Lonchura striata: one gene and its partners. The main gene of each other region encodes a partner of the protein of the gene in region 4 in a complex. Links are inferred from orthologs where the notes say so. Each region holds a gene or a part of one and is shown on either strand. Other genes may lie near its edges.

Region 1 (7,700 bases), on a different chromosome or scaffold from region 4:
CTTGTTTAGACAACATTGCAACAGTTGTCACACATCTGCTGGAGCTGCTCTTTCAATGTCTTCTGTGTAGATATCCCCTGGATGTAACTCGGAGGCGAATGCAGTTAGGAGCAGTTCTCCCAGACTCTGAAAAGTGCCTGTAAGTATTTCCTTTTCATCTGTACTGAGTTTTTGGATGTCTGAGCTAAGTTCAGTTCTTAATTTTAAACTTTAAAAGAAAGCAACTACCATAAGAAAACAACTACCCCTACCCCCTGAACTACTGTGCTGTTGATTTTTTCATTCTTTTAATAAAGATGTTTCCCCGCAGACAAAAGCTACCATTTTCAACCTGGGATTAAAAAAATACCTGAAATAATATGGCACCCTTGTTAGTAATCCTGTATCTCTACTAGTAAAATAGTTTTTTGTATTTTAAGGCAACTTGTACTACCTTTAATACCAGCAAGATCTTTAAAAAGAGACTGAATGCTTCTACTGAAATTTACTAATTTCAGAGTGTATTTTAATGGTGCAGATTCTGTTCCTTGAGATCATTTTGCATAATACAATTTTATTTGAGCTTTTTTTTGCACTTACAGTAGTCTCCCACACCCTACACATTGTTGAGGTTCCTCCACTAGAAGTGGAAGCACCATAATAACTTAAAAATCCTAATAGTATTAAATCAGGTCTCATCTTGAGAAACTTTCTGAATTTCAAATTGTCTCAATCAATTTCAATTCTTGGACAGCTTTCTCTTGGTTAGTTTCCATCTTGTGGAATTGTGTGTGCCTGAATCCAATGCAGTTCACTGTGAACCTCCTGTGTGGAAGGTTGGATCCTACCGAGAGCAGCCTGAGTGACCTTTCACAAACAACCTTGATATTGCTTAACTGTGAAGTGTGAAGGTTCTGTTCTGTTTTCTTTACTAGCTTTTTTTTTTTTTTTTTGGTTGTGTTATTTTCCACTCCTGATGATTTTAAAAGAAAAATGTGTTCATTGTTCTTTTTACTTTTCGCATTTGTGAGGACTGCTTTTACAGACCTGAGGCTTCCCCATTTAACAATTTTGATGTGACCATATAGAGGGATGTGCTCTGAAGGAGAGACACAGGCCTGTCTTTAGAGGATGAGAGGATAAAGCAAGCAGGAAGTGTCAAAGCTTTGGAACATATGGAAGATGCTCTCCAAGAGCACTGTCTTCAATAGCATGGAAATACCAAGCACTTCAAGTGCTTTCTATTTCATATCTTCTTGGTTTCAATACAAGTATGTGAAGAAAGTTCTCTTTGCACATACAGTTCAATTTCTGCTTTTAAAAAGGTAAAATACTATATACTCAGGTTATTAATTGTAAATGGAATTTATGCTTTTCTGCTCTTTTCCTGCCAGTTAGGCAAGACAGTGTGTGGAGCTGTTCTGGTGTAAAATACTGTAATATGTCTTGTAGGGCAGGTGTTTTCAGGCCAACACTATTTTAGCTGGGACTGCACCATCCTCTTTCCAATTCCCAGTCCTTGGGCCCAAATTTGTTGCAGAAGTCCAGGTTGTCTTTTTAGTCAGATGTGGCTTTTTAGTCATACGTGGCTTTGCTGTGTGGAATGCCATGGGTTTTTCTGCATGGATCTCTTAAAACCCAAGTAAAAAGTATCTTATATTTAAAGAACATGATTTTGATACTGAAGATGTGTATCCACAAATGATTTCTTTTTCTAGTACCATGGTGCAGACACTGAAATATGTGTATCAACAACACGGAGTACGAAGAGGACTGTACCGTGGGCTATCCTTGAATTACATTCGCTGTATTCCTTCCCAGGCCGTGGCTTTCACCACTTACGAACTTATGAAACAATTCTTGCACCTCAACTGATTCTTTCTTTTAGAAGACTTTTCTGTAAAACTACACTATCAATCCTCAAATGATATTGATGAATAAATGACTTGAAGTTTAAAAAAAAAAAGCTTTCTGTTACTGTGGACCTGCTGTTGTCTGACATCTTTATTTGCCAAAATGTGGTTAGTTTCCTGGAGTCCAAACCAGGTGACACATTAAAATAAACATTAGCTAGATCTAAACACTTTTTTTTGTACTTGATCTTTTAGGCTTCATTAGATGAATATTAGGAATGACACAGTTTTGGAGGTGACACCCACGTTTTATACAGGTTCCAAGCTGTTATTATTTAGCTGTAGCACCATTCCAGGAGTTAGATGCTGCTGATTATGCTGCTTTTGAAGCTAGTAATTAGGCATGTTGTTCTTTAAAAATTAAATGGAATAAACTGATTTGAACATAATGCAATGATTTTGGCATTCAGATTCTTGCTAGGTCTGTAGAAGCTGAACTTGGCAGAGCACACTTTAAGCAGCCTTTTATTCTTGCTCTGTACAAATTTTCCATATGCAAGAACAGATTGCTGCCCAGGAAAGTATCTTCAGCCATTTCAGCTAGAACCAGCAAGATGTATTTAGCAGTATTAGCTATCTTGCAATTTGGAAACCAGTTCCTTGGGGTACATTCTATTCTAAGAAAATGCTGTACTACACAAATAAAAGCAGGGGGATTTTACAGGGATGAGTGCTAGAAAAGATGTCCTTGTGGCAGGTAGGGCCTAATCTTAGAGAACTTTTCTGTGGAGCTGCATGTCTTGGTTTGCTTTGTTCAAGGCTGAGTATGTTATGTACTTCCCAGTACTAGCTGGTGTAAACTACCTTAAACCATGGTGCCAAAGAAGACTGCATGTTGCTGTTTAGGCATATAGACCACATGCAACCTCACACAGAAAAGAAAATTAAGATTGTATTGGCTCCGTAGGTATGTGTATGTACTGTTCCTGAAGTCATGGTATGCAGTAGATTATTGCATGTTTGCCTCCTCCTGTAATTCCTTTTCTGGAAGGAATTATTTTATACATGATTTGCATTGGTACTCTTGATTTTACTCACTTGATTCAGGAAACTATAAAACATTTACTTCATGTAAGTTATTTATTTATTGTACATATTTTAGTGTCTTCTAAGAATTGGCAAGGGTTATATTAAGTGGTGGATGGTAAGACTGATTTGCTTAATTTTGACAAATTTAACAAACTGGATTTTCAGTTGTTTGTTCAGTACCAACTTATGTGGCTCAATTTTCCCCCCAGTTTCTTTAAAGTATGTATTTATTTGAAATTTACAGTATAGCAATGAATACAGAGAACGAAATGTATCAGGATATATTTTATTAAAATTTTTGAACTAATATCTTTGTGTGATTTGTGTGTGTTGCAGCCAGGAGGGATACATGTTTCTGGAATGATCTGTTTGCCCTAATAGGCACAGCATTGTAATTCTCAATTAAGTGACAACAAATATGCTTTTTCATCTGATCTTTAGTTTCACATAAAGGAAAGCTAGCCAATATCACAGTGAACTTTTACATTTTAAAGTTCTTGCAGTAGAGATAAATCCACTGTATTAGGAAAACTAAAGTGTCTTTCTTTTTTCTACATTGTTTTGCTATGTGAGCAGATAAGCCACTTGTTTTTCATGTGTATACTGTTAGGGACTATTAAGTTAAGAGTTTTACATCTTAATTCTACTACCAGGGATGTATTTGAGGCATGTCATGATAAGTTAAGCAGTTTTAAGGCAGAATAAAGCAGAACCCAGCATGTTTATGCCTGAGAGGAAGAGAACATAAAAAGTATCTCCTAAATTCTTGTGTCTGGTATTGAATGTGAAAAACATACCTACTTGATGGAACTGTGCTGTATTTTCAGAATTAGGTTTTTCAAAATAAAATTTAACAGTGTATGAAAGTATTTTAATATTGATTCCTGAATTTACAGTTATATGTGGAGAATGCTGATGGATCTTTAAACGGCAAACATTTTTCACAATCTCTGATTTCAGAACACTTGTGTCCAACTTTCTCCCTAGAGACTCCCCAGACTGATTGCATGGCAGATAACTTCAAAAAAGATATTTCAAGCATATTTTGTACTTCATAAACCTGTTCTGTTGAAATATGTATTTTCTGGTGTATGGGAGATAGATAGGCAGCATCCAAGACTACAGTACAAAGGTTTAGCAAGTGTTCAAAACATTTATATAATCTCAATATCACGCCACATCATGACTGCATTTAATATTATCAACAAGGAACTAATAAGTTATAATTAAGCTTCTGTTAGAGAATAATGTTGCAGTGGGAAGCAGCATTAATGTAATTTACTGCATATATTTCAGGACTATCCCAAATAAAACTGAAACGGCTAACCTAAGAATGTTCTCACCTTTTAAAATTCGTCAATTTGAACTCGATTCTTCTGTTGGGATGTCTAGCCATGGGCCAAAGCTGTCATTTCTGCAGCAGAGTGAAACCTGTGTATCCGAAACGTCAGTGCCACCTCAGAAAGCCAGAGACCACACCTTTCTGAGGGGAAAGGCTGGACTCTCGGGCTCAGATTGGCCCATAAGTGAATTGGGAGCGGAAGGCACGTCTAATATGGCCCTGTGCCACCGCACCAGTGGCGGCAGTGGGGCCGGGTGCGCCTCAGCGCCCTCAGCGCCCTCAGCGCCGCTTCGCGCCTCCGGCTCGCGCGCGTGGGAACCGCCCCCTCCGCCGCCTCCCATTGGCCGCGCGGGGCGCGCCGGGCGGGGCTGGCGGAGCGCGCGGCGGCGCTGCGGGGGCGCTGGGTGCGCTGAGTGCGGGCCGGGCCGAGCCGGGCCGAGCCGAGCCGAACCGAGCCGAACCGAGCCGGGCCAGGCCGGACCGAGCCGAGCGCCGCACGGGACCTGCCCATGGCCGAGCGGTAGTGGCAGAATGCGGGGAGCCACAGCGGGGCGGAGACGGCCGGGAGCGCGGGGTTTGAACTTGCAAACCGCTCCCGGCTCCGGGCGCGGGAAGGCGGGATGGGGTCTGAGGCCTTCCTCGGCCTGGGGAGCGCTCGGGGCTGCCGGGATAGCGGGTGAGGGGGAGCCGCCGGGATGGATGGTGAGCGGGAGCCGCCGGGATGGATGGTGAGTTGGAGCCGCCGGGATGGATGGTGAGTTGGAGCCGCCGGGATGGATGGTGAGTTGGAGCCGGCGGGATGGATGGTGAGTTGGAGCCGGCGGGATGGATGGTGAGGGGGAGCCGCCGGGATGGATGGTGGGCGGGAGCCGCCGGGATGGATGGTGAGTTGGAGCCGCCGGGATGGATGGTGAGGGGGAGCCGCGCTGCCTCGGGTGTTCGCGCTGGGCACGGCGCCGCGGGGCCCTGGCGTTCGCTGTGCCCCGATCGCTCCCCAGGCATCACTCGGGACAGGAGAGCGCTGGTTTGGCCGCTCTGTCTCATGGTTTGGCTATTGGAAACTTAACCTTCAGTATGAGTTTTCTAAACAACTCAAGGTCATGGGTAAAACGTACCGCTCCGTGCTCGAGGTGTTTGTGTGGCTGTGGGAATTCATGCGCGCAGGGAGATAAAAGCTTTCTCACAAGCACAGTGTTTGCAGTACAGTTATAATTAGTTTACTAGTGCTTATGGATATGTGGACCCAAAAATGTAATAAATAGCAAACTGCTTAATATTTATAGAGATTTCTTACTCTTTACCTGTACAGAACTGAAAAAAAAAAAACCCAAACAAAATATTTATAAAAATTGAAGGGGAGTAAAATTTGGTTTATGGTTGAAGCTATCTCTCTTTTTGTATGTAGGTCGGCTATTTTCAAAGAGTACAGTATTCTTTGTAATTAGGTGTTCCTTCAGTTTTCAGAAGAAAGTGTCTGACCTACCTCATACGATCCTGAAGAATGGGCTGAACAACAGATACCGAGTGCTGGAGGTCAGCGTAATACAGAGAAATGGAAGTGACCCTGAGAAACACTTGACAATTACAGCCTCCCCCTCACTGGAAGATACAGAACTGTGCATCCTTAGGAGTGGCTGGTAATCCACACAGATACATAGATGTTTGAAAAGAGAATGAAATATTGGATTATTAACTAAATTTTGTTTGTGTTGTCTGTGAGTTGAGTTTTACGGCCTTAAAAGTGATATGGGATCCTGAAAGAACCTTTGTTTAATGTGATATTATCAGTATGCTAGCATAATGGATATCATCTTGAGAGGCCTGATGTTGAGTAGGCATTGCTACCTTGCAGTTTTGTCATTGTAAAAATGCCTTTATTCACTTTCAGGATTTCTTTAAGTCAACTTCTTAAAAGAACCCAACCCAGCATTTCAAAGAATGTTGAATCTGCTCTGTTAATGTGTAAGAAAATACGTTGTGTCTGTTATTTGCAAACATTGGTTGTATGGGTGTATTGCCTTGCAGGGAGTCTGTCCCGGTGGTTCCAGGGGACATTGTTCATTTGGAAGGGGAGTGCAGCTCTGGCACCTGGGTCATCAGTGCCCAGAGTGGATACCTGGTCCTGTACCCAGACCTGCTGCTCTCGGGCACCACCATCTCCAGCAGTATCCGCTGCATGAGGAGGGCAGTGCTGAGTGAGCGCTTCAGGGTGAGTGCTGATTCCACACTGCCAGTGATTTACTGTTCCACTCACACCGGTGGCCTAGCCCAGTGTTAAATCTGGCTGTTAGAAATGTCCTAATTAGCAATTCATAATGTTTGCAACATAGAATAATTTAGGGTGGAAGCTGTCTTTGGTTGAACTTCTCTTGTTTTTTTGAGACTTGCATCTGAAATAATGCAGTACTCTTAAAACGGCTACTGGTCTAAAGAACTGGGCTTTCCACTTATAATTCTGATAATTTTTTTTATAATCTCTTGCTGCATTTTGTGTGGATATGAATCCTTTGTGAGGGATTTGCCTGTTGCCATCCATAAGAAAATATAACCACACTTTGCCAAATTAACAGCTTCTGAAAAATTTAGTTAATTCAGTTAATTGGTGTGGGCTGACTCTGGAGTCTGAATTCAGCTGCTTGATCTTGGAAAGAGGCAAAGTGTCTTGTAGTATCCTTGCTGATACATGTGAAATATGCTGATAAATAGGGAAGCAACAGCTGCCAGTTTCAGCTGATGAAAACTTCCAGACATGGTAGGAATATAAATCCAAATGAATAAGGAAATTTTAATAGAGTGGTAAACAGCCTGGCTGGGAACCTGTGACTGGAACAAGAAAATTAAGTACAGGAGATTAAGACTATGAAATGGTCTTCAACCTTCTATTAGAGGAGTAAGGGGGATAAAATGATTGTTGAGTCAATGCACAGGGTCCTGACTGGGATAACACCATCCACTTGTTGTGAGTGAAGTTCACTGGTCTGTAAGAGATCCATAATACCACAGTGTTTAGGTTTTCAGCTATTTGGTAGTGACTTTCAGTTTTTGTGAGTCTCCAGAGCCCAGCCCTTCTGATGGGTTTCTGAGCCATGTTGGTGATACATGGAATGATTTTGCTGTGAGCTGGTAACAGACAGGAAACTGCTTCGTGCAAGAAATCTGTGTAAGATTGTAAAGATTGTGTTTGCATTAGGAAACGCCTGCAGGCAAAACTTTCTCAAAGTTTTGTTTTAATCTGTGCCTTTGTTTCTCACCTGCCAATCACATAGAGATTGCATCCCGACATTGTCAGGGTTGGGATAGGAGACCCACTTCAGTTCAGCTGCTCTCACAGGCAGGTTTGGCTAGATAACCATTAGTGAGGTGAAAGCTGTCATGATCTTATAGTTAAATAAGTGTAGGTCTTGATGTGCAGCAAATATTGCAGAGAAATTTGGCAG
Region 2 (6,884 bases), on a different chromosome or scaffold from region 4:
AATTGCAATGTTCTCAGGATGGCTTCAAAAAAGCAGTACGTAAATGAAAACCTCTACCACCTGAGTTTCACTACTTTATTTTGGCAGGGGAAAACCTTCAACAAGTTCTTACAAATACTTTCTTCTAGGTAAGAAAATAAAAGCAAGCATTGTGGAAATTTCACACAAATGTTGTTCCTTTGACTAAATGGTCTGTGACATCTTTAAGTCATAAATCAGCTTCTGCAAGTGATCTGCAGGTAACTGACAAATTTACAAACCTTTTTGGAGAACTCTTTTTCTTTTTCACTTAAAATCTGAGATTTCTGTTCTTCCAGTAGCAGGTATGATCTTTTCTGTTCTTCCATAGCATACTCCATCTGCTGCATTGAGTCACGCAGAATTTTAATTTCTCCATTTTTAGTGAGAATTTCATCCTGCATTTCTTTCAGCTGCAAACAGAGGAGTTACATTAAAGGATGGATATAGCCAAAAGTATGCATTTGCATCAATATGTGGTTGAAAATTAGGTGTATTTGTAATTCCTAGGAAGAAAAATGCTCCTGGTAACCTAGCTCAGAAATTCTACACATTACCTCGAATTTTTCCCTGATTAAATCAGGCTCAGCTACTGTTTTCTTTAACATAATTCAAAATTACAAGATTATCCTTATCTTTCCCCTCCTCTGCAATTATGCTTTGGATTTTTAAAAAAAAAGTGTTCTAGTCACACACATCAATAATTAATTCATTGTTTGGATGATAACAGTGATAATTTAATTACACTACTACATCCATCAGGACAGCCAACAAGCACTCTAAGAGAAGGTACCACCCCCAGAGAGAATCTTCATGACATTGAGTCTCTAACATTTCCTGAGCAGCCACTACCACTCAGAGACAAGACTTTGAGGATAATAAAGAAGTTACTCAGAAAAGCAAGAAGAAAAGATCAGAAAGACACTTCTCTACAACTGAAATATTAAGATTTAATACAGTATACAAGTAGGAGATTCCCTGATAAAGGTGGATATAATAGAGCTGGGACAGATACAGAGAATGGAGAAAGGGAAACAGAGAATCTCTCCATAAATGACCACTGGAAGGTAACGTAACATAAAGCCACTTGAAAGTCACCTCACTTTCTCAAACCTTTTAAGTTAAACAAAACAACTCTGGCTGATAAAGCAGAGAAATTATTTGATAGGGAACAAATAAAACTGAAAAATTAGCATTTGCTAATCTGAAATTACCAAGAAATAAAATATTGTTCTCACTCTTTAGTATTACTGAAGCTGTTTCTAGTACAATTATTGTATTTTAATACACCCCTGGATTACAAAAATTAGATCACCTTGATTAGAATTAAATGCTTGGGACTGGATTTATCCCACCTTTCAGTTGTTCCTATCAAAAATGTAATATTTAGAGGAGAAGGGAGGATATTGCCAACCTTCCGTTTAACTTCTTCATGCTGTGTCTGCAGCACTTCAAACTGGAATGCATCTCTCATCAGACCATCTTCTGCTCTGCTTCCTGCTGCAGGGAAAAGCCAAAATCTGAAGCACAGATGATGAATGTGCATCACTGGTGACTTAACACCAAGTTTTGTTATTTGTCATTGCATACATCTGAATATCTTAGTATTTTACTGTCATTACAAACAGGTAAACTGCCCCATCTAGTCACCACAGGAATTTTGCTAGTGCATGTGCATCAATTCTTATAACAGAAGAATCCCTGCCCCTTCAAATTTTTAATTACAGAATGGTTTGGGTTGAAAGGGACCTTAAAGATCATCTCGTATCTTAAACCACCAAGATGACCCACAGCAAAAGCAAGCATTTCTTCTGAGATAACTTTAGTGAATGCACAAACAAGGGCTCACTGAAAATTTAACTCACCTGGTGACAGATGTCAGGGTTGCTAAAACATACTTAGATTACTTAAGGTCTCTAAGGTTCATTATGAAGAAACCCCTGCTTTTGTTTCTTTCAAAATAAACCTGAAAGTCAGCTGTTAATACAAGGCATGCTGTGCATTTATTAGTGGAAAATAAGAGGGGAAAGAAAATCTGAAAGCCAACATGCTACTAGAATATAACACCTAAAGCATGTTGAAAGTTTAGGAAACTCGAGTTTTTTATTTGGCAGGTTTAACATGCAGCACCCCTGTCCCAGGCTGGCATTACGACACACACCCCAGGCAGGGCTGCTGGAGCTGTGGGATCAATGCAGTGCTCCTGCTGGGATTGTTATCCTCGTTATTCCTCTGAATGCCAGCCATCCCTCTGACCCCGGGCGTACCACCGTCGGGTGCTGGTGGCCAGGGGAACGGGCAGGATCAATTAATTCTCTTAAGGGAACTTACAAGAAAGATGGAGCAAGTCTTATTTACAAGAACCTTTAGTGACAGAACAATAGGAAGGGGCTTCACGCTGACAGAGATTTAGGTTAGATATTAGGAAGAAATTCTTCCCTGTGAGGGAGGTGAGGACCCGGCACAGGTGCCCAGAGCAGCTGTGGCTGCCCCGGGATCCCTGGAAGTATCCAAAGCCAGGCTGGCCGGGGCTTGGAGCAGCCTGGGACAGTGAAAGGGGTTCCTGCCCGTGGCAGGGGGTGGCACTGGGTGGGCTTTGAGGTCCCTGCCAACCCAGCCATTCCGTGCTTGCTAAAGGGACACCGAACGCTTCGGCAGCAGCGGGGCAGTGAGGGGCAGCCGCCGGGACACACCGACCTTGCCGCGCGCCCGGGGGCAGCTCCGGCGCTCCCCACGCGTGTCCCGCGGGCGGACCCTCCGACAGCGCCTGCGAGGCCAGGATGTCGATCTGCTCCAGGTCGTCCGCCGTGAAGTCATCGCTGTCCCCGAAGGGGTCCATGATCCCGGTCGCGGCGCTCTTGGGGCGCTTGTGCGGGGGCAGGACGTTCCGGAGAGCCGGCGGGGCGGCCGCAGCGCCGCTCTCCCCGCAGAGCGCGGAGCCGCTCCGCTTGCGCGGCCCGGGCAGCGCCGCCATGGCGGGACCCGCGGGGCCGCCCCGGCCGCGCCCCTCGCGCGCCGCGTCTCCCGCCAATCGCCGCCGGGCAGCCCTTCCCACACAGCCAATAGAGTGGCGGCAGCTTCAGAGCCGGCTATAAGCGCTCCCAGGATTGGCCGCGAGCTGCCGACATGCAAGCGCCTCGCTGATTGGGAGAGACGGAGGCGGGAAGGATTGTCCCCTCAGCGCTGTGAGGGAAGGCGCTGACGTCACGCTTTCGAGCGATTACGTCAGGCTGGACGGTGACGTCACGGCGAGGGTTGTCCCGCTGCTGTCAGACCTGGCTTCATCCCGGGAACGATGACGTCACGCCGCAGCCGCAGGGCGGCTGTGACCCGTCCTGTGCAGCCACAGACACGACTGCCCTCGATAAACTGGGACCTCTAGGAGAGTCAGGGAAGTGCAGTATTTGCTAAAGTCCTGTGCTAAACCCTCATGGTTAAATTACTGGCGTTAACCTGCTTTTGTAATCATATATGACCCGTTTTTAAATGTGGACTGAAAAACAGAGTTTCCAGCTCTATAACTCACGTGGTGTGAGGCCACAGCTATGTTGATAAACCTTTTAAGAGGAGACCAGACGATAGTCTTACAGCACGTTTTTAAAACACAGCTACAATTTTTTTTCATTTCTACAAATCAGTTTACAAACCCCTTGATGGTCTTTGAAGTGAAAACCACTGTGCTAGTGTGACATATTTCCAATTGTGTTATAGAATTCTGATTTTTCTTGCTCATTTCGCTATTGCCCGTGACATGCAGGGAAATTGGGTTATCACTGGAGGTAATTTTCTTTTTCCGTGCAGTGCATGAGCAGCCTGTGAGGAGCCGGTAGGGCCCAAAGCAAGCCCTGAGCCATCGCTCCCAGCTGTGCTGAAGTGGCAGCAGGGATCCCAGTGGAATCAGCAGGTGGGAACAGCTCATCCGCTCAGCTCAGGTGCACGCAGAAGGGGCAGCCTCAGAGGGCAGGTGCTCTTGTAGCACTTTAGCTTTGAGGTGCTGCTTAAAGGTTTATTTTTGTTTCTCCAAGAAGTTGTTCTATCAATTATGTACCAAACTGGGGGAATTGTGAATGCTTTTGTTGCTCAAAACACTGAAGGTACTATTATTTATGTTTGGAATTATTGCTTTTCTCCCTCTAATGGGAATGGTAACATAATGCTTGTCTTTCTAGTCTTGCCATAAAGTTTCTCCTTGCTTTTAAGAATGGTTTCATCTTTTTATATTTAGAGAGAGATGCTTTGAACAGATGGAATAAAAACAAAATTTCTTGTTTAGTTTAAAACCTCTCCTGGCAATTTCTCGTGCTCTGTTTCTGCTGCTTATGTTTAAAGAGACATATATTGAGAACTTAATCTAAGTAATCTAAAAGGAACTGGATTTAGACATTACTTGTTCTTAATTCTGGGTTGTTTTTGTTTGTGTGTTTTTGTTGTTTGTTTGTTTAGGATTTTTGTTTAATAAATTAGTAGGATTATGATAGTATGACTATTTTTTATTATTGCTCCTTTTAAATAATAGTATATTGTCTGAGTGGTATACTTTCAGTTTTACTTTCTCCTCTTCTGCTAGCTGAAACTGAGGAAAAATAGAATGGTAGAACACTTGCACAGGCTTTATTTTTAACAAGATAAACCAAGATACTGACTTCGTTTTCCTCTACTCCAGGTGTTCCTGCTAAAGAGAAAATGACTTGCAGAGGATTAGAATAACAACAAAGTAAGTCTGACATGTAGAATTTTATTTAAATACAGCTGCTCATGGAATAATTTTTGGGCAGGGGGATGAAAGTAACACAGTTACATATTTGCTGATTTCTCATTTTTCTCTGTCTTGCTTACACTGAGTCTTAAATCTGAAACTCCCTGAGGAGAACACAAGAAAGCAAAGCGTGAGTTTAGAAGCTACCTGACAACTGTGGCATTCTTAATTTTTGTAGCCAGAATTTCTTGTTTCATTTGAATATTCCACTTAGGACTAATGGATCCAGGTGTCAGGCCTCAATCCATGTAAGCAGTTTTAGCATTACCATTTGACTCTTGCAATACTTTTAGCTACAACTCATCTGCTTTCTACTATTACCATTATTTTAGTTTACTCATGAGCAAGTTAAAACCAGGGCCCTTAATGTCTGTCCTGGCTTTAGCAGTATCTTGTTTTACTGACTTAAGTGTAAAATCACTGGGGTAATAGGGAATTTGTGCATTTATTCATTTGGGTGCACATACATTGTGGAAGGAGAAACCTCTTTAGCATAATTAAGCATTAAGCTTAATAACTTATGTGTGGATTTGGACAGTTCTTAGTGCTGCTAATGGTAAGTTTATTCTAAATGCTAGTAATAATTCTGTGACTCCAGTGCAAGCGTTTCTTTGTCTCTTATTTCAATGAAGATTGATGTGAATATGTTTTGTGTTCTAATTCTCAAAACACGGAGTAAATCAAAACTGAAGTGGATGACTGAATGAGTCCAGGTACCAGCAGAGATTAAATTTTTAGCTTAATTCCTAAAGTATGAGGTAATAAAATGCAAATAGGACTTCGGTGAAAATTTGTTATAATAAAACAGCATCTTGATCCAGACCTGAGAGTCGGTTAGGAGGGGAGTATTCTGGGTTTTGGGCAAATGTCAAGAGTTTTGTCTTTTGCTGGTCGAGGGAAAGGAAAACCCGCCTGTCAAGGATGACCTCGGAGCTGCGTGTCTGAGATGGAGGGGGTTTTAGTCTGTGCTTGTATTGGGCCCTGAGAAAAGAGAGGGAAAAGGGAGCAAGGCAGGACAACGGCGCCGTCTGCCTGGAATACGGCTGCGATGGAGCTGATGGAGGGATGAGAGGAGCCGCCGCTGGCCTGGGGTGGCGGTGAGGGCAGAGCCGTGGGGGCAGAGCCGGGCCGGGAGCGCGGCCGCGCGTTGCAGCCGCGCGTTGCACCCGTTAACTCCGTTGGGGTGAAGGAGCGGCGGGGCCGCGCCCGTGTGCCGGGCCCCGAGCGCAGCCCGGCTGGCCGGGCCGCCCGTGTGCCGGGCCGCCCGTACGTCCGCGCCGATCCCGCCCCATGGGCAGCACAACAAACCCGCCCCGTCCCGCCCGCGCCGTGCGGCTGTTGCGCGGAGCCGCCCCCGGCCGCGGGGGCCGGGCCCGGCCGGGCGGCGCTGGCAGCGGGGCCGGGGCGGACATGAGGACCGAGATCTCCACAGCGGCCGCGTTCGTGACCCGCCTCCTGCGGGCCGCCGGCGGGGTCGGCGAGGAGCAGCTGCGGTGCTTCCGCGAGTGCCTGCAGGAGGCGATGCGCGGTGAGTACCGGGGGGGCATCCCCTCTTTCCATCCCCTGCATCCTTGCCCTGCATCCCTCCCGCATCCTGCGGGGTCCGGCGGAGCGCAGCCCCGCGCAGAAGCTCCTCTTTGTTCCCTCCCGCAGAGCACTACAGGCACCACTGGTTCCCCCTGGTGCCCTCCAAGGGCTCCGGCTACCGCTGCATCAGGATCAACCATAAGATGGACCCCTTGATAGGAAAGGCGGCGGGGATGATCGGACTGAGCCACGAGAGGCTCTTCCAGCTCTTACCCAGCGAATTAACGCTGTGGGTCGACCCCTTCGAAGTGTCCTATCGCATAGGTGAGGATGGGTCTATCTGTGTGCTGTACGAAAGCCCCCAGCCTGGAGGGAAGGCGGCAAAACAGCTGGAGAGCAGGACCAGCTGCAAGGAGGAGTGGAGAATTGGCAGATCCAGCCCTTCCAAGAGTTACAACATGATGACAGTTTCTAGTTAAAAACAACTCTTCCCTGTACGATGTTGTATGTATCCCAACCTCATAGTAAAGTCAGATATAGCTGAGCTTTTTTTGTTTTTAATTATTTTTTCACCCTATCGTCA
Region 3 (7,630 bases), on a different chromosome or scaffold from region 4:
TTACATCCCTCAGTGCCCACCTGCAATCCCTGAGCTTTGCTGAGCCTCCCTCTGCAGAAACACACAGACAAATTGCTACTTACGTGTTACTCACTGCTCCTTCCTTAGCAGAAAACATCTTTTAAAGTACCATATCATTGTACTGAGTTGTAGATTTTGCACCCATACCATTTTAAAAACAGATTAACCAAGGGAAATATGCCTGGGAGAATTTGTTTCTTCACCTGGTCTCAAAATGAATAAACATATTTTCATTGGAGATAAATTATGAAAGTGTGTGTGTGGTTTGCTTCCTTCATTTGCAGTGCTTAAAAAGAAATTAATTTCCAAATTAAAATGTAGTTTGGGAACAAAAAAGCCCAAGACAGCTCACTTTGAAAATATCACAGAGCATTCAAAAACATACTAGAAAAAAAAGAGCAAATTAATTAATTTTTCATATTAATTTCATTATTTATAATAATTTCCATGCTCTCATAAATCTTGATATTTTCACTGAAATCACTATTATTGATTTTCCCTTTTCCCCAGTCCTAACAAGAATGAAAGATTAACTATAATGTAGTCACTTCCCTTTCTTTGTTTTATGTATGCAATATATTAGGTATTTTGAAAAACTCACTAATGAGACATACTCTGTCCATGACAAAAATCCTCACTTAAAAGTTCTGTGTTCAAAAGAGTTTAAAAATGAGCCTTTTTCAGTCCTATTTTCAATGAATTCATTACACCAGTGTGAAATTCTTAGGAAACTTCTAAGATGTGCCAGATTTATTTAATTTCATTTTAGATTTTGTCTCATAATATAAAGCGAAAAGTTCTCAGGCAGTTTATACTGCTATTAAAAACTGGAACTTTATTATTCATTCAATCTCCTGAATTATTTATCCCTTTTGATTTGAAAGTAGGACTCCCAACTGGAGCGCTAGGAGTCTGCTGCAAGTCCCTGGAACACATCCTCACCACAATTAGCCATTGATCAGCTGCTCATGCCACACCAAGGGAATGCAAAAACTCCCTCCTCCTTGAGGCTAAACCCTCCAACATCACAGCCTTCTAACACTACATTCCTTAATAAACATTATCAGCTTAGAGTTGAGTTCTTGAGCTGCAGTGGCACACACACACTTTTATTCATTAGGAAAGTGGGATTTCTTTCCCATTATGAACCTGTTTAGCTTATCTGCACATGCATATTATTTTGGGTTTTGCCTCTTTTGGTAACATATTGATGCAACAAGATCTCGCATGCAGAACGAAATGCATGTTAAATATGCTTCTATTTTTTTCCCCAAAATGCTTTCACTGCATGAGTAAAACCTAAAAAATGTGTGAAAGACCTGTGGCAAATATTCACATTTTCTGAATGGGGTTAGTGAACAAAGAGCTCAGAAAAAGGAAGAAATCAAAGGAGGCACTGCAAAATGACAGATGTTACTTAATTTTAATTACTGATGACAGTATTTCAGATTATGCTTGTTAACAGAAAGAAACACAAAGGCAGATCACTGTACAGTACCCAGCTGCTAATAGGCTGCTGGAAAGTGGTAGGAGACATCAAGATTTAGCAGTACTTTCTAGTAAGTGTGTCCATTTCAATGTTTTGCATTCCCTCAAGATGTATCTGCTGTTAATGTACAAAGTTTCTTCCCAGTATCTATTCCAACCATAAATAAGCAGCAGGTACCTTACATAGTGCCTAGTGCATGGTGTGCAGGAAAGACATTTTTAATTACTATATTGAAACCAGCAATGAAAAATATCCTGCACAGCCTTGCCACACTTGGTGCTGATGTACAGATCTACCCACACTGGTATGATTACAAGGCAGTAGCGATGTTCAGATATCTATGATGGATTTTGAAGACTCATTCTTTACTCTTTTTCAGTCCTCTTTGTAGTTTAAAGTCCACTTGATACTTTACAGGTCGGGCAAAAACAAGGTAACTACTCAAATGTCACAAGTTTCTGTGCTTGCTATAAATTTGCCACATATATGATACAGTTACTCTGTTTAATACATAGTACCTAATGGTTTTTTTTACTTGTTAAAAAGTGTTCTATTGGCTTTAATTACACCCATGAGAATGGAGAAGTGAAAAAACATATTTTTTGCCTGAGGCCTCAGGTGAAAAGAAGAGGTTTCATGGCTCAGGGAATTTATCTTTAGTGACTTCAAAACTTCTTACTCCTGATCCACCCTGAAACCCACTGCTTACATGTTACAAATTAAGAATGATCCCAAAGTACTCCAAATCAATTAAATGAAAAGCAAAAAAAAAAAAAAAAAAATAGTACAGAGTAGTTCACTCCTATATGCTGAATAAATATGTTTGTATATTTATTTTTAGAGGCTCAGGGAGGAAATATTCACATTGTTACATAACATATACATATGTTTGCATTTATATTGCTTAAAATAATGATGTAACCTCACAGGAAACCCATGTTAATTTATCTCCCAATTTTAGATTCTGTAAGTGAATCTTCACCAGCATCAACTGCCTCACTGGGATGAAATTATTTATGTCTGCTGGGTTTCACAGACTCAATTAGATTGGAAAACTCGTCTGAGACCATTGAGTCCAACCTATGACCAACATGTCAACTAGACCACAGCACTAAGTGCCACAACCAGACTTTCCTTAAACATCTACAGGGACTGTGACTCCCTGGGCAGCCCATTCTAATGCAGAACCACTCTTCCTGTGAAAAAATTACTCCTGATGTCCAACCTAAACCTCCCCTGGCACAGCTTCATGCAATTTCCTCTCATCTTGCTGCTGGGAGAAGAGATAGACCACCATGGTTACAATGTCCTTTCAGGGAGCTCTAGAGAGTAAGTAGGTCACCCCCAAGCATCCTCTTCTCCAGGCACAACATCCCCAGCTCCATCACCTGCTCCTTGTAAGAACTGTTTCCTCCACTCTTCACCGGTTTCATTGCCTTGCTCTGGACTTGCTGCAGCACCTCCATGTCCTTCCTGAATTGGAGCGTCCAGAACTGGACACAGCAGTTGAGGTGCAGCTGCATCAGTGCCAAGTAGAGGGGAAGAATCACTTCCCTGTTCCTGCTGGTCACACTGTTCCTGATACAGGCCAGGATGCTACAGGCTTCCTTGGCCACCTGGGCACATGCTGCTCATGTCCAGCTGCTGGTAGCTGCTACCTTCACATCCTTTTGCTGCATTTGCCAACTTCCAGCCACTCATCGCCCATCGTGTATCACTGAATGGGGCTGTTCTGGCCAAAGAGCAGAACCCCTTGTTGAACCTCATATTCTTGGTCTTGGCCCATCAATCCAGTCTGTCAGAGATCCTTCTGCAGAGCCTTCCAGCCCTCCAGCGCAACAACATTCCCACCCAGCAGGGTGTCATCCCACAGTTTGCTACTGGGTAAATTCAAGGCACCTCAGGCCAAGCAAAGTCCCGCAGGAGGGCACACCCTGCCCCTCTGCCCTGCTGAGCATCGCCCTTCCCCAGCTCCGGCGGCAGCAGGGCTTCACCGCCCCACGGCGGCGGCAGCGCCGGGCGGGGGGAGCCGGCAGCGCCTCACGGCACCGGGACCCGGGCAGAGCCTCACGGGCAGAGGATCCGGGCAGCGCCTCACGGGCACCGGGACCCGGGCAGAGCCTCACGGGCAGAGGATCCGGGCAGCCCTCACGGGCACCGGGACCCGGCAGCGCCTCACGGGCACCGGGACCCGGGCAGCGCCTCACGGGCACCGGGACCCGGGCAGCCCTCACAGGCACCGGGACCCGGGCAGCCCTCACGGGCAGAGGGACCCCGGCAGCCCTCACAGGCACCGGGACCCGGGCAGCGCCTCACGGGCAGAGGGACCCGGGCAGCCCTCACGGGCACCGGGACCCGGGCAGCCCTCACGGGCAGAGGGACCCCGGCAGCCCTCACGGGCGGCTGAACCCGGGCAGCCCTCACGGGCAGAGGGACCCGGGCAGCCCTCACGGGCGGCTGAACCCGGCAGCGCCTCACGGGCAGAGGGACCCGGGCAGCCCTCACAGGCACCGGGACCCGGGCAGCCCTCACGGGCAGAGGGACCCCGGCAGCCCTCACAGGCACCGGGACCCGGGCAGCGCCTCACGGGCAGAGGGACCCGGGCAGCCCTCACAGGCACCGGGACCCGGGCAGCGCCTCACGGGCAGAGGGACCCGGGCAGCCCTCACGGGCAGAGGGACCCGGGCAGCCCTCACAGGCACCGGGACCCGGGCAGCCCTCACGGGCAGAGGGACCCGGGCAGCCCTCACAGGCACCGGGACCCGGGCAGCCCTCACGGGCAGAGGGACCCCGGCAGCCCTCACAGGCACCGGGACCCGGGCAGCCCTCACGGGCACCGGGACCCGGGCAGCCCTCACGGGCGGCTGAACCCGGGCAGCCCTCACGGGCACCGGGACCCCGGCAGCCCTCACGTACGGCTGAACCCGGCAGCGCCTCACGGGCGGCGGGGCGGGGCCGCAGTTCTCCGCCGCGTCCGCCCGCCCGCCCCGCAGCGCGGGGCCAATGGCCGCTGGAGGCGCCGCGGCGGCGGCCAATCGGCGGCGGCCTGGCGAGCCGCCCGGCAAAATGGCGGCGCCGCCGGTGGCGGGACGGGCGCGGTGCTGCCGCAGCGGCCGCCATGCCCGGTAGCCGGCGGAGGGGGCTGTCCCTCGGGCCCGCCGCCCTGAGGAGGCGCAGCGGCGGCGAGGAGCAGCGGGCGCGGCGGCGGGCGGAGCTCCCCGCGGAGGAGGGGCCGGTGGAAGGCGGCGCGGGCCGAGGCCTGCCCGCCGGGGAGGCGGCGTGCTCGCCCCGCGCTGCAGGTACGGCGGGAGCGGCCCCCGGGGGCCCCGGGCCTGCCCGCCGTGTCTCGGACCGCGGGGGAGGCGCGGCCGAGCCGTGAGGAGGGGTTGGTGCGCTGTAAATCTCCGCTCGGCCCCTGGGAAGGAAGGGCTGTTGCTGTGGAGAGCAGGTTGAGCCAGCGTGCCCCGGGCAGGCCAGTGGTACCTGGCGTGCGGCGAGAAGAGCATTGCCCGCAGGTCAAGGCAGCTGTGCCTGCTCCTCTGCTCAGCCCTGCTGAGGCCACATTTGGGATACTGTGACCTGTTCTGGGCCCCTCAGGACAAGAGACATGCAGCTCCTGGAACAGGTCCATCAGACAGCTACAAAGTTGGTTAGTGGTTTGGAGAATGTCTTCTACGAGGAAAGGCTGAGGGAGTTTGGTCTGTTTAGCATCGCGAAAAAAAACAGAGGGTACACATCAATGTGTATAAATATCCAAAGGGAGGGTGCCAAGTTCTGCTCTAAATATAAATATCCAAACACCAGGTTCTGATCAGTGGTGCTGAGCAGTAGCACAAGAAACAAGCAGAAACTGATGCACAGGAAATTCCACCTGAACATGAGGAAGAACCTCTGTGCTGTACAGTGACCCTACACTGGAGTGGGTTGCCCAGAGACAGTGTGGAGTTTCCCTCGCTGGAGATATTCCACAACCATCTGGGCACAATCCCGTGGCCTGTGCTCTGGGATGACCCTGCTTGAGGAGGGAGGTTGGACAAGGTGACCCAGTGTGCTCCCTTCCAACCTGACCTATTCTGTGATTCCCACAGCAAATACTGAGAACTAACCGAGGAGAGGATAAAACCACTATGGCCATGCTAGGCACTTCAGGGCAAAACATCCTCTAAGATGTTCCTCCCGTAGTGATAGCATCTTTTAAATTATTTCTGTAGGCTTCCACATCCACAGCATCATTTCTAAAGGGCAGGGGTGACTAGCTGAGTTTCACATAGTGTGTTTAGTTCACTTACTGATCAAAGGCAGCTGCAAGCAGGTTTGAATAGCTATATTCCTGCTTTTAATAGTCCTAGCTGGAAGGGCTCAGTGGAGGAAATACAGACAAATGTAGGTTATGACCCAGAGTGGTTTGGATGCCCATTAAAAAAGTAGTTCAGCTCAGAGTCTGGGTGAAAGACACAAAGCAAGCAAGAATACAAAATCTTCTCTCATAGAGGTATACATAATTTTTCTCTTAATAGAAGATTAAGTCAGTGTTCTCTCAAGTGTAAGAACTGACATCATTACAATCAGTTCCTGGGTGCAAAGGTGTCAGTATCATGTAATTTTCTCTAATCTCTGTGGGGATTTAATTGGCAGAGTCCTGTATTTAATGTCTAGTTATGAACAGTATTCCTGTTGTGAGTAAAGCAATTCTGGTGTGTGTGAACTTGATTTTTATTCTTGATGTTCCCAAAGCATTTTCTTTTGCCTTGACGTGTTCTGTATTCTAAGTGATTTTTGCCTTTTATTTGTTGTTTTTTAATAAAGGTCCTCTTTGTTTTTACACAGAGCCATGTTTACATAAGACACCAAAGAGATCATTGAGTAGGAAATCCCGAATACCTACTTTCAGCTCTCCTATTAATGACACTGAGACACAGCAAGAAATCTTTTGGGATTCTCATTCACCAATTGCACACAGATTAGGTAATACCAAAATCCAAACTGCAGGACACTTGTTTGAGTGCGAGTGTAGCAAAAGTTATAAATGGTTCCTTGGAAGAAGGTTCTTTTCTCTTACAACGGTTGTTTGATTTTACTTTCGTTATAAACCTATAAATTCTTCAGTACAGCACTGAATCAATCTCCGATGTTTACAGGCCTATTTGAGTTATTTGAGATGTACTGCACTTCACAAACTGGATAGATTTCAAAATTTTAAGAAGTTTGTTTTTTTTCATAGGCAATGGAAAAAGCAAGCAGTCTACCAGTAGATGTGCAGTAGAAATTTCGGAAATCGTTAATCGTATTGCTCCTCAGGTAATTGTGTAATTGTAACTTTCTAAAACAATGCTCTGCATGTGTAGTAATAAAAAGGGAATAGTGCTTAAGTTTTAGCCTTGGTTTTAGTTACAGTAGTGTCATGGTAAGAGTTTGGCATGTAGAAAACTAGTTTATAGAATGGGATTGAATTAAAACAGTCAGCATAGCATTTACTGATTGTTGTGTGAGTCACAGATGCTGTAAAAAAGGACACATGAAGAAACTTGCAGCAGCTGTATTTTAGAAAGGTTTACTTTCAGAATACAAGGTTTACTGCCCTTGGTCTTAAGAATACTGTTTTTTTAATCCTTAATTACTCATCTGTTAAAAGGTAAGACTTTCTTCAAATACTGGATTTATTTGGCAGTTGTTTTTAAGCATTTTGAACGGTCTTGATTGACTGCTGATTTACAAGAACATGACTGAGATGAGAGATATTTTGCAATAATATAAACATAGTAACCTTGCTTCAATACTATAAATAATTTTCCTCTTTACCCCAGTATCTGCCCTTTCCCTCTTGCCATGAACCTGATGTCCACAGCTCAGAAAGTCGAAACCAAAGTGCTGTTGCATTTTAAGTACAAGAAGAAAACATGTAATTCCTAAAATAGATGCGTAGTATTTAGCTTGCAAAACATGCCTGCTTTTTTGACAGGGCTGTTTAAAATATATTTACTGTTCAGCATATTTGTGAGAAATTATACTAAAAGAAAAAATCATTGATAAGGGATATCATTGCATACCTTTAAAATTATTACAGTTCTGCCACGAATGTAATCTGCTGCTTATGTTTTTATTTTTTTAAACAAAAATAAA
Region 4 (7,980 bases):
TCTATAAGAGAAAGTTATAAAATTCACCCTTCCACTATCCATGAAATAAACAAGGCCTGGGAATGCCCAACTCCACTGTTACCCTGATTTCTTTTTATTTAATTACTTTACTATGGAACAATATGTGACTTAGATTAACACCCAGATCAGGGGGTATAAAAAATCTAAAGCTGAAGTCCCCATGGACACCAGGCCACATGTCACAGCACCCCGATGGTATGAGCAACAGTGCCATCTCATGGTTCCTGTCCCAACCTCCTGACCTCAGGGCACAAAGCTGAGCCTTACCAGCCTTTCCGACTCTCAGCATGCCTAAACCTTTCTTGATTTGTTGCTGGAGGTCCTGTAAACGGCCAGACAAGTGATCTCTGCTGGCTGAGGTTGCACAAGCTTCATTTGAACAGCAAAGAGTGTCTTCTTCCCCCTGTGGAAATCACTTTTGTGATCATTCCTGCTCACATTCACCTCAAAGTTCACTCTCCATCTGCATTAGCTCTGGGTTATAGAGATGCTAAATTGTTCCTCACTTGTATTCATTAAACAAAGTGATTTTTTAAATAAATTGTTATCAGCTTATTTGATTTTATAAGAAACAGTGAGATACTGTCTTGACTCAATAGGGGCTTTTGGCTTCTGAGCAGGGATCAAAGTGAGGTCTTCACACCCCAATTAAGTTGCACAATCATAACTATGGAGAATTACCTGCATTTGGGCCTGGCATTTGGGACAGCAGAATGAATTTCTGATGGACACCACACTCTTGACACCAGACTCTAACTCCTCGAGGCACGCCGGGCAGCGACAATTGAAGAAATACTGGTTGAGAAGCTGCTGCCTCTCAGCAACCCTCATCCTACACCAGTGAGGCCCTGCAAAAGATATCTCTCACAAGTACAGTTCTTAATATCAGAATAAGTGGATTTTTGTTACAATTGAGACTAGGTATATTTTGAGGAGGACACAACTGGAGACTGAAAGTCTAACAGAGGGCTTAAGGGACAAAGACTCTGACATTAGATGAGAATTATATGAGAATTATGACATAAATAACCATCAGCTTGATAAGGGGAGGTGAATGACATCTGTGCCTTGAGACAAATGCAGAACTGGGGCTTACCATAGCAATGCAAAACCTCTTGGCCACTTGAGATTGGCTGTGATGCCCTGACAGTGGCAGCTGTCCCACTGAATGACACGCTGGTATTGGGGCAGCACGAGTGGTTCAGGAGGCTGAGGACAGGGAAGAAGGCTGTTGCCAGCCTCACAGGCTTCTTATCTACAACATCCCCATCTCCAGGCCCTGAAGACAGAGGAAAACCAAGCAGGTTGAGATTGAATACTCCCAAACCCACACAATTTCTGCAATGAGCCCCGTGACCGATCGCAGGCAGCAGCAGAAAGGTTCCTCGTATATTGCTGCAATAAATAATAGCTAAACACGTCTTGCATGTGCACCAAGGAACAGGCCAGCATGGGACAGGCCATTAAATTGTAAACAAATCATTTCCATCTGCAATGGGAGCTTTTTACAGCTGAGAATTTAATCTCTTCACACAAGAACATGGGCAAGGAGAGGACAAGATGGGCAAGGAGTCCTGGGCTCCTCAGGACAGGAAAGAGGAGCTACTGAGAGGGTCCAGTGGAGGCCACAGAGATGATGAGGGGTCTGGAGCATCTCTCTTATGAGGAGAGACTGAGGGAGCTGGGCTTGGCTAGTCTGGAGAAGACTGAGAAGGGTTCTCATCAATACATAAACAAATACAGGTGTCAGAGAATAGTGATGGACTCTTTTCTGTGGTGCCAGGATGAGGAGAACCAGCCACAGATTAAACAAGAAGCTCCACCTCAACATGAGGAAAAACATCTTTCCACTGAGGGTGGCAGAGCACTGGAACAGGCTGCCCAGGGAGGTCTGGAGACATTCCAAACCCACCTGGACCCACTCCTGTGTCACCTGCTCCAGGTGACCCTGCCTGGGCAGGGGATTTGGACTGAATCATCTTCAGAGGCTCCTTCCAACCCCAACCATTCTGTGACAACACAGTAGGGCTTCAATTTTTTTTATCTTACCCAACTCCTGCATTACAGTGATTGCTTGTGCATTACACTGCAGCTGCAACACGTGCCTCAGCATTGCTTCTGCCACAGTCTTCAGCTCTGGGGACAATTCACCTGAGGTGTTCTCACATGCCTTTAGTTTGGACCACTGCTGAGGCGATTCCTGACACAGCACAGCAGCCTCCAGGCCAGCTGCTTGCAGCTGTTTGCATATAGCTACCACACTGAGCAAGCAGAGGAACTTGTGCTCAGGGCTGTGCTGCTCAGTGTGGGGTAAAAGGTGGAACAGAGCTTGGTAAGAGCTCTGGTACTGACCACTGCTGTCACAACCAGGGACACCTCTGCTACCAGCTCCTGCATCTGCTGCCTCACCGAGAGGCTTGCAGCTTGCCTCAGGGCACTGCAGGCTCTTGTCCCCATGGTGGGACCATGCCACCAGCCTGCTAACCTCTGCAAATCCTGCCAGCAGGACAGTCCTCAAGGCCACGTGGCAGAAGACTCCCAGCGTGAGGAGCAGCGCTCCCAGGGAACACTCTGTCCTGTGGTACTGCTGCCATGCCACGTCTGCACAGTCCTGGCTGCAGTACTTGGCATAACTGCAGCCCTGGCAAGGCACCGAGGCCAGGAGCTGCCTCAGGCAGCGGTGGCAGTAAAGATCCGCGTTGGTGGCTCGAGTGTCCCACGCTGTGTCACCATCCTGCAGAGGAAGGCTCTCCCCAGGGCACAGCACGCTCACAAAGGCCTCCTCTTTCACCAGGCTCTGTCCTGGCACGATGTCCTGGGAGGCCAGCAAGTGACGTCCTCTCTCTGCATCAAAACCCAAGCTCAGGGATGAAGATGCACCTGAAATCCTGTTGTTCTCTTCCCAGATTTCTGGCTCCCCTTGAATGCCACCATGTGCTTCTTGTGCAGGCTCTGGACACCTCTCTTTCTCACCTAATTTAACCTTCAGCTGACTTAACTTTTTTAGCCGTGCCAGGTTTGTAGTCATGACACCATCCAGAGCAAATTTACTCTCCAGCACTCTGAGGCTCTCCTGTGCATCCTGTAACCTCCCCAGGCGCAGCAGACACTCAGCTTTCCGCAGCAGGACCTTGGGCAGCAGCCTGTCTGGATAGCCATGGCTTTCAGCCCTGGCAATATCTTCCAAACAAACCTAGGAACAAAGATAAGGCCTTTTCAGTGGGCTTGAAAACCAGCTTGTGCTCTTTCATTCCACCTAAGTCTCATGGAAGAATTCTGTGTGCTAATCAGCAAGTTCCACGTGCATAACCAACCTGCTGCCCAAATAAAGCATCCTGAAGTAGGGAAGTTGAGCTATGGATGCTTTAAGCACAGCATGGGAAGCACAGCATGGGAAGCACATCTGATCTACTGTTTCTTGTTCTAATAATCCAATCCTTCAGGGGCATCCAGGACATTGCAGGGTGGGTGCTGCCCTGGCCCCACTTACCTCAAAGTGTCCCAGGTGGAGGAGGGCGGCCGAGCGGTTGGCAAAGCACACGGACAACTCGGGGCTCCCGGGGAGCTCGTGGGATGCTGCCTGCAGAGACCAGAGAACTGCTGCTGCCTCGGGGGATCCCTCACAGGACCCTCTCAGCAGGGCATGCAGGATCCCCTTTTTGGGGATCCCCTCACCGGAGCTGCTCCTTGCCCCTCACCCTTCAACCATGAGGGGCTGCAGGAGCCTCTCTTGGGGATCCCCTCAGGGATGTGAAGGTGTTGTGGGTAGGACCCCCTCTGCCACACCTACCTTGGAGTAGAGCCTCAGGGCAGCCTGGTAGTGGCCCTGCTTGAATTCCTGGTTGCCCTGCTCCCGGTACCGGCTCGCAGCCTCTGGCTTCTTGTCCGTGGCTGCCCGGTGGCACAGCTGCACCAGGGCTGCCTCCTCCTCCTCCTTGGTCCTGTGGGACACGGGGGCAGCACGGAAGGATCAGTTTGGAGTTTCTGGTCCAGCCTCCCTGCTCAAGCAGGATGATCCTTGTGGCACTGTGTCCAGAGGGTTCTGGAGTATCTCCAGCGAGGGAGACTCCACACTCCGTCTGTGCCACGGCGGGGTCACTGCACAGGGAAGAAGCTCTTCCTCGTATCCTCAGAATCACACGATTAGGTTGGAAAAGACCTCTCAGGCGGTGACGATGCCAGGTTTGTCAGCACTGAATTCCATGTCCCATCTTTCCTTAAACACCTCCAGGGACAGCGACTTCACCTCCCTGGGCAGCCCATTCCAGCGTCTAACCACTCTCCCTGCGAAAAAATTCCTACTCGTGTCCAACCTAAACCTCTCAGGTGAATTTAACCCTTTATCTTCTTGTCCTATCGCCAGCAACCCGGGAGACAAGGCCGACCTCCAACCTGCTGCCAGGTAGAAAGGTGGAATTTTATCCAGATGGAATTTCCTGCCATTGCAGCGAGCGGAGCCTCCTCCATCCTTCGACACCCCCCTTTATTATTTATACGCATTACGAGATGCTCCATTCCCCGCTCCCCTCGCTGCCCATCCCCGGACCCGCGGCTCACCGGAGCAGATCGCAACCCAACCGCACCGCGTCGTGAAGCGAAGCCGCCGCCAGCCGCTCCCTCAGCGCCGAGTCCAGCGCGGCCCAGAGCCGGGCGGTGCGGCCGCGCCACTCCGCCACCGGCAGCGCCATCACTGCCACCACAGCCACCGCGCCACCGGCAGCGGCATCGCCACCACTGCCACCACTGCCGTCACTGCCATCACTGCCGTCACTGCCATCACTGCCACTGCGCCACAGGCGGCAGCGCCACCGCCGCCATGGCGGCGCCCAGCGGCATCCCCACACGGCTCACAGCGGTACTTCCGCCATACGGCGCCGGGCAGCCAATAGAAGCGCGTTCTGGCGGGTGGCGCACGGCGCGGCGGAGGCGGCGCCGGAAGGAGGCGCCGGAAGGAGGCGGTGGCGGCGGCGGCGGCGGGAGGATTTGGCGGCGGCGGCGGCGGGAGGATTTGGCGGCAGCGGCACCATGAGCGTGCGGCTGAGCGAAGGGGCCATCGCGGTGAGCGGCCCGGCGTGGGCTGGGGTGCACCTGCGCCTGGGCACGGTGCGAGGTGAAAGCCGGGCCTGGGCACCGCGCCCTGCCCGGTCCTGAGGGGAGAAGCAGGCCCGGAGCGGGGCCTGGTCCCGCGGGGGTTTCCTGGTCCGGCGGTGGCGGCCGCACCCGCGTCCCTGGCTTCTCCACGGCAGTTCCTCCTCAAACCCTTGGCTGTAGGTCGGGCGCGGGGTCTCAGATGTTCCTGTGGCGCTTTCCTGAGCGTCTCTTTCATTTCTGCAGGCCATAATGCAAGGGGAGGAAGTCTTCAAGCCCGTGCTTCAAGTCATCGTGAGTACTGTCCCTTCCCTCGGTGGCTGCTCTTGGAGTCCTGAGTGCAGCCAGACTTTCCTCTGCAAAGAAGCCGAGCAAGGCTGCTCTACTTTTAATTCTCTTAATTTTGTTTTACATTGCTTGGGCTATGAAGTTGATATTAGTGCTCAGAAAAGCCGAGTAGATAAGTCACTTGTTAATGTCGCTTTCTGGTTTTGAAAAGTTTCTGAAGAAATGTGAACTGACAGCCTGTTTTTTTGGTTTTTGTTTTTTTTTTTTCCCTGCAGAATACACGGGCTATTGCCACAGGAACTGGGCCCCCACGTTACCGAGTGCTGATGAGTGATGGGGTGAATACTCTCTCCTGTGAGTATGACAAGCTGCTGTGAGGTTTTTCTAAGTGTGGACATGCTACGGGTGATGAAGTTCCTACTCTGGTGACTTGGATGCAAAGTGCTGAAATAAACATTGAAGGAGAATGTGTTTTTTTCACTGGCCCACAGACTCTGAAGTGTGTAACTACGTTTTGTCCTTTAGGTGAAATGTCTGGCTTTTGGAACATTGTGAAATATGAACAATCAATTTGCTGCAGGATGTAATGAAAATACAGAAACCTATACATATAACATTAATTTAAAAGTAATTTAGCTTAACTTTCCTCTTAGTTCTTTGATATACAAGCGTTCTAGCTATCACTGCACTCTGAAGTGTGGGGAATGAATACAGCACACTTCATGGTCAGTTTTGGTGACTTCTTAGCAGTTGCACTGTTTTCTTTGTCAAGCTGTAGATCCAGTGCAATACTTGACTGGCTGAAAAAAGTGTGGCAGTCCCTTTTAAAGCTGTCATTGTGAATTATTTCAATACTTTCCTTCTGCTCCTGCAGCATTCATGTTGGCAACACAGCTGAACTCCCTGGTGGAAGAGGAACGCTTGTCAGCCCGGTGCATTTGCCAGGTTAACAGATTCATTGTCAACAGCCTGAAAGATGGAAGGTATTTGTGTTAATCTTTAAGTTCAGCCCTACAGAAAGGCAGCTGCATGAGTGTGTGCTTTGTGACTAAGCAGAGGCCAAGTGCTTTTGGTTGGGATTATCTGACAATACTCATGTTTTAGGGTGTGAGAGGGACAGTCCACAGCAGAAGGAAATTGCAGAATGTGACTAGTGAGATCAGATGTATCTGGTACAGTGATATAGTAATAAAAAATTTCCAGTTGCAATACTCCACCTCCAGCTGGAATACTCCAAATACTTGTACAAAGCTTCCTTAAAATTTTCTGCTGTTGAAAAGAAACAATAAAGGTATCTTGTTACTTAGGTGTTGTGGGATCTGGTCTTTTATTAAAATTTGAGGAAATAGGATAGGAGGAAAATTTGAGGGGATGGGTACTGCAAAGTGGGAAGGGATCCAGGTGAAACTATTACAGAAAAACTGTGTGTATGTCTATCAGGAGATGAACTAAGGTTTGTATTCTTTTTATTCTGAAGAGAAGACAGCAACTTTTGAAGCAGGGAATAAAAACCTGGTATGGTTTAGCTATTTTTAAAACACAGTGGTTTCCCAAGCTATTTTTGGTGCCTGTTCAGGCCTGCCCTTGATGCAGTGATATCAAGTATCCTTGATATTGTTTCAAGTTTACTTGTCCCTCAAGAGAGGGCTTAGTTGACAGTGGAAAGCTTTTGTCTCCCAGATCCATAATCCAAAGAATCAGCCTCTTAATGCTTGGTTTTCTCAGCTGCTGCAAAGGATATCCTGAGATGGGAGCTGCAGAGGGAGTGACAGTCTTTGTTTGTTGTCTGTTCTGTTGTAGGAGAGTGGTGATCCTGATGGATGTAACTGTCCTGCAAACTGCTGATCAGGTTGGTGGGCCTATTGGCAATCCCCAGCCATACAATGAGGGTGAGTAGCTGCAAGTAAACACTTTTCTGTCACCTCAGAGCCTTTCAGCTTCTCTCTTTCACCTGAAAAAAGCAGTCAGACACATTCAGGGATTTTTTTTTATGCTCCAGATCTTCAAAATCCTTTTTGTTTGTGTCATACAAACTGGGGTTTGTTGCTATTTTAATAAACTCTGCATCATGGCTGAAGCTTGAGTCTCTCCATGGTGTTTGGAGCATCCATACCTTATAACCTTGACAGGTTTTTATTGTAGTGAGTGGTCTCTACCTCGAGTTCCAGTAAGTAAGCGGAAGCGATTTTATGTCTCCTCATAATGAGGAATCAAATAGATTCTAATTTCTCCTGTCTGGAAAGAAACAGGAGGAGGAAGATGGAATAATGATCTGTAAAAGTCTAAGATGCCATGGAGGGGATGAATAAAGAATGATGAATCTCTCTCTCTCTTTTTTCTATGTTCATTTGATGCTCTTCAGCTCTTGTGTTGTCAGGCAGTGGTTGTAAAACAAAGGCTGCACCACACCCCTAAACTGCACAGTTAAATTATGGAACTTGTGGAGGTAGGTGCCAAAAATTGGCACAGATTCAAAAAGCAATTAGATGTGAAAGAGAAATCCATTAAAGGCTGTTAAACATAACAATACATCCTCTGCATGAATGTTAGGTGCAGGAAGCACTAAAACTTAGATTGTTCCAA

What was found.
Region 1: the proteins of RPA1 (region 4) and DNA2 are in contact, whole or in part, in a crystal structure (PDB 5EAY), measured with the Homo sapiens proteins. The link is inferred for Lonchura striata from reciprocal best matches to the Homo sapiens genes RPA1 and DNA2. Residues at the interface, in NP_002936.1 of Homo sapiens: Asn29, Ile30, Arg31, Ile33, Arg41, Arg43, Leu44, Leu45, Ser54, Ser55, Met57, Asn85, Leu87, Lys88, Arg91, Val93, Ile95; in NP_001073918.2 of Homo sapiens: Glu6, Leu7, Glu8, Leu10, Met11, Lys13, Ser14, Phe15, Trp16.
Region 2: the proteins of RPA1 (region 4) and ATRIP are in contact, whole or in part, in a crystal structure (PDB 7XV4), measured with the Homo sapiens proteins. The link is inferred for Lonchura striata from reciprocal best matches to the Homo sapiens genes RPA1 and ATRIP. Residues at the interface, in NP_002936.1 of Homo sapiens: Ile33, Thr34, Arg41, Arg43, Ser54, Met57, Thr86, Leu87, Lys88, Asp89, Arg91, Val93; in NP_569055.1 of Homo sapiens: Gly53, Asp54, Phe55, Thr56, Asp58, Asp59, Leu60, Glu62, Leu63, Asp64.
Region 3: the proteins of RPA1 (region 4) and ETAA1 are in contact, whole or in part, in a crystal structure (PDB 8JZV), measured with the Homo sapiens proteins. The link is inferred for Lonchura striata from reciprocal best matches to the Homo sapiens genes RPA1 and ETAA1. Residues at the interface, in NP_002936.1 of Homo sapiens: Arg31, Ile33, Thr34, Pro39, Arg41, Arg43, Ser54, Ser55, Met57, Asn85, Leu87, Arg91, Arg92, Val93, Ile95; in NP_061875.2 of Homo sapiens: Thr599, Trp600, Glu601, Ala602, Asp606, Asp607, Leu609, Leu610, Tyr611, Ala613, Cys614, Asp615.

The regions. Positions count from the first base shown.
Region 1 is NC_134609.1:35,120,213-35,127,912, forward strand, and holds the start of DNA2 (DNA replication ATP-dependent helicase/nuclease DNA2), read left to right. Parts: upstream 1-4,698; 5' UTR 4,699-4,772; coding exon 4,773-4,783; intron 4,784-5,720; coding exon 5,721-5,900; intron 5,901-6,288; coding exon 6,289-6,472; intron 6,473-7,700. Other genes in the region: SLC25A16 (solute carrier family 25 member 16), read left to right, coding at 71-139, 1,698-1,854. UniProt on the Homo sapiens protein: Key enzyme involved in DNA replication and DNA repair in nucleus and mitochondrion.
Region 2 is NC_134614.1:7,102,896-7,109,779, reverse strand, and holds the start of ATRIP (ATR-interacting protein), read right to left. Parts: upstream 3,005-6,884; 5' UTR 2,993-3,004; coding exon 2,716-2,992; intron 1,519-2,715; coding exon 1,433-1,518; intron 432-1,432; coding exon 261-431; intron 1-260. Other genes in the region: protein BTG1, read left to right, coding at 6,185-6,302, 6,428-6,780. UniProt on the Homo sapiens protein: Required for checkpoint signaling after DNA damage. Required for ATR expression, possibly by stabilizing the protein.
Region 3 is NC_134605.1:2,575,521-2,583,150, forward strand, and holds the start of ETAA1 (ewing's tumor-associated antigen 1), read left to right. Parts: upstream 1-4,628; coding exon 4,629-4,809; intron 4,810-6,337; coding exon 6,338-6,475; intron 6,476-6,731; coding exon 6,732-6,808; intron 6,809-7,630. UniProt on the Homo sapiens protein: Replication stress response protein that accumulates at DNA damage sites and promotes replication fork progression and integrity.
Region 4 is NC_134622.1:6,993,558-7,001,537, forward strand, and holds the start of RPA1 (replication protein A 70 kDa DNA-binding subunit), read left to right. Parts: upstream 1-4,968; 5' UTR 4,969-5,046; coding exon 5,047-5,079; intron 5,080-5,355; coding exon 5,356-5,403; intron 5,404-5,672; coding exon 5,673-5,751; intron 5,752-6,271; coding exon 6,272-6,380; intron 6,381-7,197; coding exon 7,198-7,286; intron 7,287-7,980. Other genes in the region: protein-lysine N-methyltransferase SMYD4, read right to left, coding at 1-1, 289-424, 703-869, 1,118-1,300, 2,071-3,214, 3,512-3,601, 3,812-3,962, 4,579-4,709. UniProt on the Homo sapiens protein: As part of the heterotrimeric replication protein A complex (RPA/RP-A), binds and stabilizes single-stranded DNA intermediates that form during DNA replication or upon DNA stress.